Drosophila melanogaster: one gene and its partner. The protein of the gene in region 1 interacts with the protein of each later gene in a pairwise test. Each region holds a gene or a part of one and is shown on either strand. Other genes may lie near its edges.

Evidence for each region. Proteins that work in one complex are often made in the same cells at the same time.
Region 2: the proteins of CG10147 (region 1) and chinmo interact in a two-hybrid assay, tested with the Drosophila melanogaster proteins (one large-scale study listed by BioGRID).

What each region holds. Positions count from the first base shown.
Region 1 is NT_037436.4:6,484,626-6,490,454, reverse strand, and holds CG10147 (uncharacterized protein), read left to right. Parts: upstream 1-2,030; 5' UTR 2,031-2,113; coding exon 2,114-2,599; intron 2,600-2,659; coding exon 2,660-3,520; 3' UTR 3,521-4,288; downstream 4,289-5,829. Other genes in the region: bulli, read right to left, coding at 1-216, 279-537, 593-985, 1,042-1,525, 1,587-1,694; CG42747 (uncharacterized protein), read right to left, coding at 5,399-5,770.
Region 2 is NT_033779.5:1,648,342-1,654,672, forward strand, and holds the start of chinmo (chronologically inappropriate morphogenesis), read left to right. Parts: upstream 1-2,916; 5' UTR 2,917-3,371; intron 3,372-4,433; 5' UTR 4,434-5,494; intron 5,495-6,331. UniProt on the Drosophila melanogaster protein: Required for morphological differentiation of postmitotic neurons during postembryonic brain development. Ensures production of appropriate neuron subtypes within a lineage by preventing precocious generation of late neuronal types of that lineage.

The DNA.
Region 1 (5,829 bases):
AGCTCCTCCTGGGCGGCAATGTTGAACTTGTTCAGGGATTGCAGGTAGAGCATCAATATGGATTCCGTGTACGGGCGACGAGCTATGCGCTGAAAGATTTGCACCATATCCAGTTGCTCAATGAGCACAATGGGCGGTGTGCTCTGTTTCAGGGTAGTAGTTTTTACGTTCGACGGTTGAGCGGTTTGATTTTGCAGCTCCAACTGGACCCAAGACCTAAAGTATACCATGCATAATGTAATAAATATATATTGATGAAAATAACGTCTTTAACTTACGCATAGATCTTGTTAATCCGACTGAAGATGGTCTCTAGGACTGGCAATAGAGTTCCCTTATACTGATCATCTACCAATTGTCCAATGACTTTTAATAGCATCTGCTTGCCATTGCTGCGTTGCAGCAGGAATTCTGTAAGTCGAATGCGATCCGAAATCAGTTGGCACAATGGTTCAATGCAGAGGTTCAAAAACCACATGCAACCCAACTTGGCATCGATTACAATATTTGGCTGGAACAGTACCCAGTGCGTGGAATCTGCATGGGTATAAGTGTCAAATAAAGTAACTTTTTGGATATTTAAAGAACTTACACAACTCGCACTGCAAGATTTGTCCATCAGGCGAAAGTGAGGGCAGTTTCAGGCCAAACGGTTTGATGGAGCGCCCTGGAGTTATGGGTGTATGATAGGTTATTTCATTGATCACCTCTCCGGGCAGGGAGATGTCGAATAGCAGCGAAGTGCCCGAAGCTTGATGGTGCACCACAATCAGATTATCCACCGTGTTGATGGCGAAGCGACCAAGCAGACTTAAGCGGAGCACATGGCACTTGCGTGGAGCCAAGCCCGGTCCATTGAGCAAGTGCACCTCGACTTCCATCAGTCCGGTGGTGCTATTTGACTGGAGGATAAGCACAGCCAGCACGCCGTAAACTTGGCCTAAGGTGACCTTGCTCTCCTGGACATCGCGACTTGGATTGCCCACTGAAAGGAAAGATTAAAACGCTTTTAAAGGATTTTAACCCAAAAGGATTACTTACAGTCCACTTTGGGCAGCTTGGTGATTACTTTCTGCTTGACCAGCACCGGAATCAGGGAGTTTCCTTCGCTGGTGCACAGTAGAGCCACATTGGCATCGCAGCACCAGGCGAACCACTTGATGCCAATGCTCAGGGATTTCACAGAGCGCACCTGTCGCTTCTCAGGAACTACGGTGTAGACCTCCACGCCGGTATTCGAAATCAGGGCCACCTCTCGATTGTGGACCCAAACAAAGCCATGGATCAGAGTCTTCACCTGGTGGGTAATGATGTCCTGCAGCAGAGGCTGATCTCCCTGAAAACATATGAACTCCACGGAATTCTCCTTTCGCTGAACGGCCAAGATTTGGTTGTCCGGCGAGAACTTAATGGACCTTATGGCACCGCCACGGTCGCTCATGCAAAAGGAGATGACGACATCGTCGGGAGATCCAGGACCTTTGACCACCACACCAGTAGCTCCTCCAGACCGAACAGCAAATATCTTTACAGATATAGATTTTTAGCCATCATCAACATGGATTTTTAACATGTTTTAACTATACCTGCTTGTTGGAGTCATCGAAAAACACATTGGTTAGTTGGCTGACAGCATCAAATCGTATGGGATTTGGGGTTAGCTCAATGTAGTGGATTCCATTGGAATTATCCATTGTTGTGCTGGAAAAAAATAAATAACAAACTGCAACAGCACAACTTTTTATACACCCCCCATTAGAGATGTGACTTTAGCACAGGGTGCTAGAGATGTGCCACGAGTAACAAGCTGTTTTAAGTCACGATTAATTTCATTTATTGTACGTGCAAGGATTAAAAATATAAATGTATTTAACATTATTTGTGGTATGCTTACAGTAGATATTTTTAAACATTTATACTATATTTATTTAACCCCTTCCAACTCACGCTATTATTTGCCATCACTATTGCTATCAGCGGTATTTTTGCCAGCCCTATCAGCTGTTTAGTATACAAACAACAGCGATAAGAAAAAACGGCAGACAGGACACAGAAAAATATTTTTTCTTGTGAATTTAAAAAAAGGTCTCAATAACTTTGATTCAACCACTTAATGGGACACCTGGACAAATGCCGCGTATGCTCCAGCGATGTGGCTAGAGACGACGAGGCCTACAATTTGCTGCACCATCCATATCTCGCCGTCAAATTTTCGGAGTGCACAAATTTGGTGGTGGATCCTGATGACCAGGATATTTTGCCCAGCGAAATTTGCTCGGAGTGCTACGAGCTTCTGGAGAAGTTCCACTCCTTCCGAGCACTTTGCATTATAGCCGACAATAAGTGGCGTTCTAAAAGTCTGGTAACTTGGAAGAAAATAGATCGCAGGAAACCTGTTTACGAGGTCGATGAAGATGAGGAAGAGGAGCTGGAGCTGGAAGAACTTCTATTGGAGCCGCCGGAGATGATTATATGTGATACCAATTTGAGTGCACAAAATACCCCAATAGTCGCTGAACAGGCACCGCCAACCTTGGTATTCCATACCTTCACCGAAAATGTCCAGCAACCCCCGGAAACGGAAAAGAAAGCTTTGGAAGTGAGTTTGGGTTTAAGGTTTAAACAGGAGTGTAAGTTAAGTTGTATTCAATGATTTCAGGAGCCGCCATTGACCACATACAAGTGCGACTTGTGCGCCGACGAGTTTCGAGAGGAGAAACGCTTGATTCTGCACAAGAAGGAACACCAGGGACACATGCTGTATCATTGCACTGAGCCCGGATGCGAGGAAGCTTTCAACCGATTCGAGAACCTCAGGCAGCACGAGCTAGAGCACTCGGAAGTGGGCATGCGGTTTGTCTGCGAGGAGGAGGGCTGCAACAGGATGTACCGGCACAAGGCCTCGCTGAAATACCACCAAAGCAAGGCTCACGACATTGGCAAGCCTTTGAAGACCCATATGTGCGAGTTCTGTGGTCGGGTGTTCAAGACTGGCTCTGCCCTAAGCCAGCATCGGTTCACACACGGTGACCAGCTGGTATTGCCATATGCCTGCGAACTGCCGGAATGTTCTATGCGATTCTATAGCACGGAGAAACTCAAGATCCACATGATGCGTCACCAGGGCATAAAGAACTTTAGTTGCCCCTACTGTGGTCTCAAGAAGACGACCAAAAACGAACTGCGACTGCATATCAACTATCATACTCTGGAAAGGACCTGGTCCTGCAAGGATTGCCCCAAAGTTTGCAACAGCTCAACGAGTCTTAAGAAACATATCCGCGCAATCCACGAGAAGGCACGAGATTATGCCTGCAGCTATTGCGAAAAGAAATTTGCCACCACCGACACGCGAAAATATCACGAAATGACCCACACTGGCGAAAAGAACTTTGAGTGTCACGTTTGCGGCAAGAAATTTATACAACCCTCTGCCTTGCGCACCCATCGCAAGGTCCACGAATCGGGGGATAATCAGCAGACCGCTTGTGCTCTGCTGCAACTGACTAGCATGGGTTAAAGAAGTTAACATATTTCTATTTTAGGTTCAGTGGAAAGTACAACATTCATATCGTATTTTACTTGACTCACAACTTAATTAATATTTACATACCTCCTTTATTGAGGGATTTATTACGATAACGAATTAGAAGAGCAGGGAAGAGGCAATTTTTAATAAACTAGTCTTAGTTTCTAATGGCACAAATACATGCCATTTTACCCTTAATAACGTTAACAAATCAGGAAGTTTAGGGTAAATGGCATTAATTAATAAGCTGTAGTTTTTCTATCTTATCAAGAAACTAATTAATATGACAACAACCCGCAATAACGACAATAAATCTTATGGTGTAGGGTATAAGTTAATGACAATAAATCAGAAGGTGGAAGGTACAAGTATATGACGATAACCCCAAATAATGTTAACAAAACAAGAAGAGATTATGAATGGAGACAATAACCCTTAATAACACTAATCAGGAAGTGTAGGGTAAAGTGAATTATTTTAAAGAAACTGCACTTTTAGTTTCTTACCATTTATGTATGTCAATTTACCCTTAACAACGAAAATATCAGGAAGATTAGGGTAAAAGACGTTTAGTATTATAGTCACATTTGCAACTTACACTTTAAGTAAACGACAATAACTTCGAATACTGACAATAAATCAGGAAGTATAAGGATACGGGGAGTTTTGCAATAAACTTTGGTTTAAGTTATTCACGTTTGAGAATATGCCAAGTTATCCAAATCAGGAAGTAAAGGGTAAAGTGCATATTCTTTTATGAAGTGTAGTTATAGTTTTTTGTTTCGTTCTGTTTGTTTCTTAAACTTTAAGTTTGTTGAATTTATAAAATTGTTTTCTTATTACCTATTTTTTATGAACTAAAACCTTTTACTCGGTTAAAAATGAAATTATATACTTTAAGAGTACTATTGTACTTACTGTATCGACAAATAAATACTCCAATAAAGAACCATTTCCTTTTGGGATTCAGAATGTAAATATCAATAATTGTTTAATTATATTTTCAACTAAAACAATAATGTACAGGAATTGTGTGTGTGTGTGTGTGTGTTACTAAATAAATCGGCAGAGGATTCGCTTCCTGCCGCGGACCACTAAAAACTAAAGTACATCTGCTAAAGGTCGTGAGTCTGTTTATTGTATATGGTATAGTATATAGATAGCTTTGCATACATATGTATAATGGTGTGGTAAATGATATGACGTGCCACGATCATTTCCCCCGGTAAATATGGTGAAATCTGTTGCATTAAAATCGTTGTAAATATGATTCTTCAGTTATTGTTATAGATATATATTTGTATAGTTATATATGTTGGTGAGCTAAATGCGTTTTCTTTTTTCGGCTGCTGTAAATATTGAGTGTATAAATATGTTGTATTCGTATGTATATATCGTTTCTATATTTGCGTGTACTGATCCTGGGGGGAAATACGATTTCTTGTCCATCGCGTTCACTTCACTCGTTCTAAGCCTATGAAAAAATGCGTTTGTTGTCGTTTTTACATTTTTAGAAAATGTTTAAAGTACGTAGAACATAAGAATATAGCATATTTTTAGGCTAAATATCACCCACGATTAAATCGTTGCTTAGAGACTACATAAAAACTAGACATATAATACATTCTTGCCTTGTAAGTGTGTATAAATATATCCCAATATCGGCAACGGGTACAGATTATAATTTCAGACATTAACCAAAGACACAAGTCCATGCTAAACACTAAACACTATGGTATGCCAGTGTTAAATATTATGTAAATTTAACCTTAGATCTGTGGGGTGTATATAACGTACTTCTATATCCTATTAACATGTTAAGCTCGCTGAACATTTCACATTATGTTTGTATTTAAACGCTTACTCCATTTAGACATAGTCCGAGGGCACTGTGCTGGTGCTCGTCTCGTTGATGGCCGCCAGTCGAGGACCTCGTCGTTGCGTCATCGCCGCAGCCTCGCCCGGCGTAAGGCCATTGCCCCCACCACCACCGCCTCCAAGGATGGCGGCTGCTGCTCCTGCAGCCACAACACCGCCACCTCCCACTCCTCCGCCATGATGATCCCAGTTGGGCAGCGGCTGGGACATCACGTTCAGTCCGACAATCTCGTAGGCGCCCTGATTACTGCCACTCGCTCCGCCGGGCATCGCGGTCACCGACAGATCCGAATAGTAAGCACTGCTGGGTGCCGAGGAGACCACCATGGGAATGTCCTGCTCGTGGCCCTGGTAATTGTATTTCTGTAATGAAGGGTGGATTGCAGGATTATTTTCTGAATTATTACTGAATTTCTGTCATG
Region 2 (6,331 bases), on another chromosome or scaffold:
GGGATTTAAGGGGTTGTGGGTGTAATGGGGAGGGGGATTTCTAAGTGGGTGGGATGTGTAAGCATTTGCTTGTTTGACAGGCATTACAAACACAAACGCCAAGCCAAATGTCAAGCGTAAAATTTTTTTTTATGCTGCAATTCTTAGAAAAGTTCCTTCGATTTTAAAAATCACATTTTACGATACAAAATTTCGATTAAATTTGATTAAGTTCGCTTTATCATTAGAAACGAAAGTACAGGCTGATTTTATTAGCAAGTATTTCACTTGAGGCCTTTTCAGCTTCATGGCACCACTATCCATAACCCCAAAATGTAATATCTTCTGCACGGCATAAAAATGCAGTATACACACATAAAACTGTGTTTTTTTTGGCGGCTCCAAAGCAAAAGCGAAAAGCACAAACAAGCAAACATATTTATGTACAAAATACACAAGCAAACAAACAAATATAGCCGTGCAAGTGTACATAAATACATACAGGCGAATGTAATTGCCAAATAGTGTACATAGGCGAGCCTACGCACTCACGCACACAAACAAGCGAGGTAGAGAGAGAGAGAGAGACAGAGAGAGAGAGAGAGTGAGACAGCAAAAACAGCAAAAGCAGCGCAGCAGCAGCAAAAGCAAAAGCAACTTTGCAGCGACGTCAGTTTGAGTACATAACAAATAAATGCTAAAATTTCACGAAATACCAAAAAACGCACACCCAAAAATGCGCGCACACCAATGCAAACACCCACACAACCACACGCACGCGCCCCACACAAGCACACACACACAGACGTTGTGTGTATGTGCGTGTGTATACAAGGCATACGAACGCAAGCTGCAAAAGTGCGTTCGGAAACAGAATTTCGGGGCTGTGGTCGCAGGCCCAAAAAGTGGAGCATATAACGCACAGCCACCCACTTAATCCAGCCCCTTTCCACAACTCCCTCAAATGCACAGAAAATAAAAGAAACGAAATATCAATAAAAGTAATATTTTGATGCGCCTATTTTCTAAAGTTCAGATGAATTCTGAATGCACATGAATCGTATGATTGGTTTCTCGTTTAGAATCTATCCATTGTATATAATTATATATATTGTTACATTATTATTACTATATAATATAATAATATTATATTGCTTGTACTTCTAGTATTATTTAATTTATTACTTTTTCCTTTTCCACGTTTTTTTTTTTCAGTGCGCTAACAAAAGTTGTGTAGCTAAGCAAAAAGTTGAGTGACGAAGAGCAGGGGAAGACGTAGGTCCAAAAAGTGCGTGCAGTACTGCAAAAGCAAATGGAGAGCCAAAAAGAGAAGCACAGGGGTGGATTTAGGAGGTGGAGTGAGGTTTATTGGCGCTCGACCGAAAAATGCACTGCATTTTTCGTTATGGAAAGGGTTTGATCTAGTGGTATTTTTATAAAATAAAAATATATGAAATTAATTTAAAATGCATCGAAAAAGAATTATTAAGGAACGCGTTCCGGAATAATTCCACTTCCGACTGGGGAAGCAAAAGCAGCAGCAAAAGCAGGAGCTTTTGCCTTTGCTTATTGGATTTTCGACGCCGGCACTCCACGTGTTTCTTGAATCGCGTAAATTGTTCGTTTTCCCTTACCACACCCCGCCCCTTTACCGACAAGCTTTCATTGTCATTGTGTGTGCATAAAATGGCAGCAGAGAGAGAGAGAGAGAGAGAGAATGGGAAAACATGCGCCAAAAAAAAGCTTACCGCTCTCTCCTCTCTTTCGCTCACTGCAAAACGAATGCGCATTGTTATTGTTTTTGGCAAGGCTGCACTGAAAAAAAAATACTGTTGCTAACGAACTGTCAATGAATAGAAATAAGGTAATTGTTTGATTCAACTTTATCAACTCTTTTTCCACTAAAATTAAGTGGTTATTGTTTGATTGGCTAGGAATTTGATATTTTTGATGGGAATTGCATTCAAAAAAGGGACTCCTGACACTTGTGTGAATAGGGGAAGTTTTTGGGCTGAGAAATGAAAAGCATTTTGAGGGTTTTTGTTCCAATTTTGATGGTTTGATCGGAAAGTTCTCAAGGGATATGCAAATTATGCGAGAACTGAGTAGTTAGGTTATTATTGTTTTCTTCCTAGAAATCAAAGACCAATTGTAAGAATTTTCTAAAGAATTCCAAAGAATTCCACTAAAAAAATTTTATCCTTTACTTTTGTTTTCTGAGAGTGATCAAGATTTTAAAGAAACGTAATGCGTTCTTTTGCATTAAAGCTATGCAATTAACATTTTTCCCATATTCCCATCTTAACTCATTGTGCCGATCTTAAAGTGGTTTTCCATATAAATCGCCTCTTGCGAACCCTATTTCTATTGCATCTAATATTCAGAGACCACCTGGATGGAATCCCCCGCTGTTCGAATAGGTTAAGACCAAGTTAAGGTTTGCTTTTGCTATTTCGGGACGAGATTTCCCTAAACATTTTCCACTTGAGCGGAGCTCCTATAAATTACCTCATGTCCTTTGCCTTATGCAATTGCGCCTGCAAAAGAGAGAGTGAGAGAAAGAGTGAGAGACTCACCCCCGGATTATGAGGATATATGTAATTTTTATCCTGGGGCGGCAGTGCATACACACAGAAAAAGACATGCAAAAAGCAGTTGCAACGACCATTACTTCTACTCGCCTGAGTAAATTGTGTTCTAAAAATCATTAAAAAAAAATATGTAAACTATTTTCTGTTATACTTTAGACTATTTTCGGTTATCCTTTTTAAGAATCCTTGTTGGAGATGTCCAATCTGACAATTGCAAGTTGCTCGCCTGCATTCCAATTGGATTAAAAGCTCGCTCGCTCGCTCGCGCTCTCTTTCTCTCTCTCTCTACGGAGCACACCACTGCACGCTTGTTCGTTCGCCGCCTGTTGGAATCGAAATCGAATCGGCAGTCAAAAAGAAACTGCCGTGTTGAACGGACGTGTTGAAGTTTCGCGGTTGCTTGTTTCGGTGGTGCTCGCAGCAGCAGCAGCGTTTGTGCATTCGCATTCGCAGTCGCAAATTCGCATCGCCTCGTCGCTCGTCAGCCCTGGCAACTGCAGGCAACTCAAGTTTTACACGTAAATTAAGAAACGAGGAAGCACGGACAGAATCGAAACCGCTTGATAAAACAGTTATTCTCTACATTTCTGAACTGAAAGAACTGCAGCGGATGAAGTGCAAAAAGCGAAAAGTGCTAAAAGTTTGCGGCATTGAACACTTTTAATTATTATTTACGTTTTGTTTGTGTTTCGTCGAGCAAAGCAAATGCACAAACTAACTGTCCAGTGTGCATGTGTGTGGCAAGAGTGCGTGAGTGCGTCGTGAGTGTTGCAAAACGGCTGTTCGCCTAGTAATTCAAAGGTAATTTTGAGTGAATATTGATCATATTGAAGTGCATGTGGTATGTTTCAAAGCTCAAATAAAGTGACATAAAATCAAAAATGAACAATTATGCGTGTGTACTTGGTTTTCTCGCACACATGAAATTCTGGCCTATGTGTGTGTGTGTGTGACTTTGCAACTCGAATTTCAAACGGTACAAAACGCAGCATAAAAAATGAAGCGAATAGCAAAAGCAAACTGAGAAAAAGTGAAGTATAGACTTTTATGCATAACCAAAACGTCTGCATTTTTAATCAAGCAACAACAATAGAAAAATAAGCAAAAGCAAACTACAACAACAACAGCGAGGAGTACATGGAACAATAAACAACCCTCCCCGTTTTCCGCCTCCCCCTGAAAATAAACAAGGCGCAATACCAGTGAACTGAACCCCTTTTTTGCACTGTGTGTTTATGTGTGTGTGTGTGTGTGTGTGTGCTACGAAATAGCAATTAAGGGAGAATAGAGGAAAGTGCATGAAGTGCAGGAAAGAAGGCAAAATGCAATTAATCCCCAGGACACTTGTTCAAAAAAGCGAGAGAAAAGTGTAGAATAACGGTGAACAAGTGTTGAACAACTACAGAAATACACTACAAAATGTGAAAACTTCTTAAAAATAGTTTTGAAGTAAATGTTCTTAAAACAATTAGACAATTCACTGCTCAAATAAAAATGTTTCCCCTTCCCCAAAATTTCCAAGTCCCAATGCCATATAAAGTGTTTTTGAGTAGAATAAAAGACATTTGCCAGAAGCAAAGTGGGAATTACGGTCCCAAAATGGGAAAATGAAATATATTCTGCGATAATAAAATCATTAATCCAATTCCACTTACAAGAAATCGGGCTGATAAGAAACCAGAAATTCTGGGCACAAATGAAATGAAATTTATTCGGGTGAACTGTGACAAATTAATATAATATTAAAAAGAAAATGAATACTTAAAACATGTCACATTATCCCCGAATAGATTTGAGTTTCAATCAGCCAAATTCCACTTACACTTTTTAATAACAATTTTCTAACCGCTTTTGTATTTGCAGCCAAATGTCAATGTGAAAATGTCTCAACGAGCAAATTTTAGGAAAGTCAAGAAAAACATTCAACGACCTCAAAACCAGCGAATGCTACAAAATGCGAATCAAGAACATTTAACCATCTAAATATTCAAAATCAATTTAATTGAATCAAATAACGCGAAATTGCAACAAATCAACCTAAAAATGAACTGAAAACAAAAACATTTCGAAAAACAACGCAAAATTCTAAAATTGGCAACATAAGTTTTGGTCTTGAATTAAATACAACAAAAATAAATTAACAAAAAACGATTTTTGGCAACAAAACATCATACATAAAATATACACAAATTGTAATTATCTCAAAACGTCCACACGTGAAAATGATTTGCAACTAAGATGACAATCTAATAAAATCAATGTAAATTTTTAACGCAACAAAAGGAAAACCAAAACCGTCAGCAAAAACCAGCCCAAAATCAGTTGAAAAGCCGAGGGAAATCTTTTTAGAACAAACGCAGAAAACCGCAAAAATTTAAGCCACCAAATTGGTAAACTATTCAAAATTATTGGTTCGGACATACGCAATACTAAACACAGCAACACAACAACAACAACAACAACAGCAACAACAGCAGCCATAGCAACTACTACAGTGATCACTACAGTAAAAGCAACCGCAACAGAAGCAGCAGATAAAACGTGTGTGTTAGTTTGCATAAAAATTTCGTTTCGATAAAAGCAAAGCAAAATCATTTAACAAAATAAATAAAGAATAAAGTAAAAAAAAAAATTACCAATCGTAATACATGTATTTATAAAATATATACCTATACATATATCTATGCTTACGAATTATATCGGAGAATATTTGGTAAACAATTTTTGATAAAAACAACTCGAGTATATATCCTAACTAATTAGCAACAAAAAGAACTAGAACATTTGGCCTAAGTGAAAAAAAAAGTGAAGTGAGAAAAACTAAAAAGAAAAACTTATAAATTCAAAATTACCACTTGTGAAAGGTGTTACAACTGAGGATTCTGGATTTGGATTAATGCGTAAATTTGCAATTGAATATTAAGGTGAGTTTGTTATGTTATATTTATGAAAAATTCACAACTTGTCATTTTTTCACACATCTCTTCGCATTTCTTAATGGCCCTTTTAAGTTTCCCCACGCACGAAAAAGTGCGTAAAATGAAAAATGTTTTTTTTTTTTTTAGAAAGTGTCCACAAACATTTGCAAACAATTACCGCTCGTAAAAAAAAGGCAAGTGCTCCGCCTCTAATTACAATTATAATTTATGCAAAAAGTAAGGAAAACATTTTTTGGTCAAGAGAAAAATTGTCTACGCACTTTGCGTATGATTTATGACACTCAAAACTTGGCGTTGCATATTAATACGCGAGAAAAAAGCAAAAGTTGCTTGCTTGTCACTTCTACATGTGTATCTACGCACACACACACACAAACTCTCTCACACACTCACGCACGGAAAGGGGTGTAGATATTTTTTGGGGTTGTGCATAAATTAAAAATATATTACTTCTGCTTCTTGCCGATGCACAAAAAAAAAAAAAAAATGCGGCGCAGTTGACACGCAATATTTTTCGACTGCGCTGCCGGCGCCGCTGCCACTTTGACCTACTTAGCAAACGCAGCGTGTTCCAAATTTTGTGCGTTGTGTACTTCTTTGTACCGCTCTCGCCCCCTCTCCCTCGCGCACTCGCCCCGTCCCGCTCGCACGCGTTGGGGTTGGTCTGGCATTGCGTGCGCTGGAAGTTGTAGTTTTTGTTTCAGTTTCTGTTGTTGTTGCTGCTGTTGTTGTTGTGTGGGGTCTTCCGCATTTAATTAAATGCACAATAGTTTTTAAAGCTTTTACACCTCAAACAATTTCAACAAGCATTTAAATATTCAA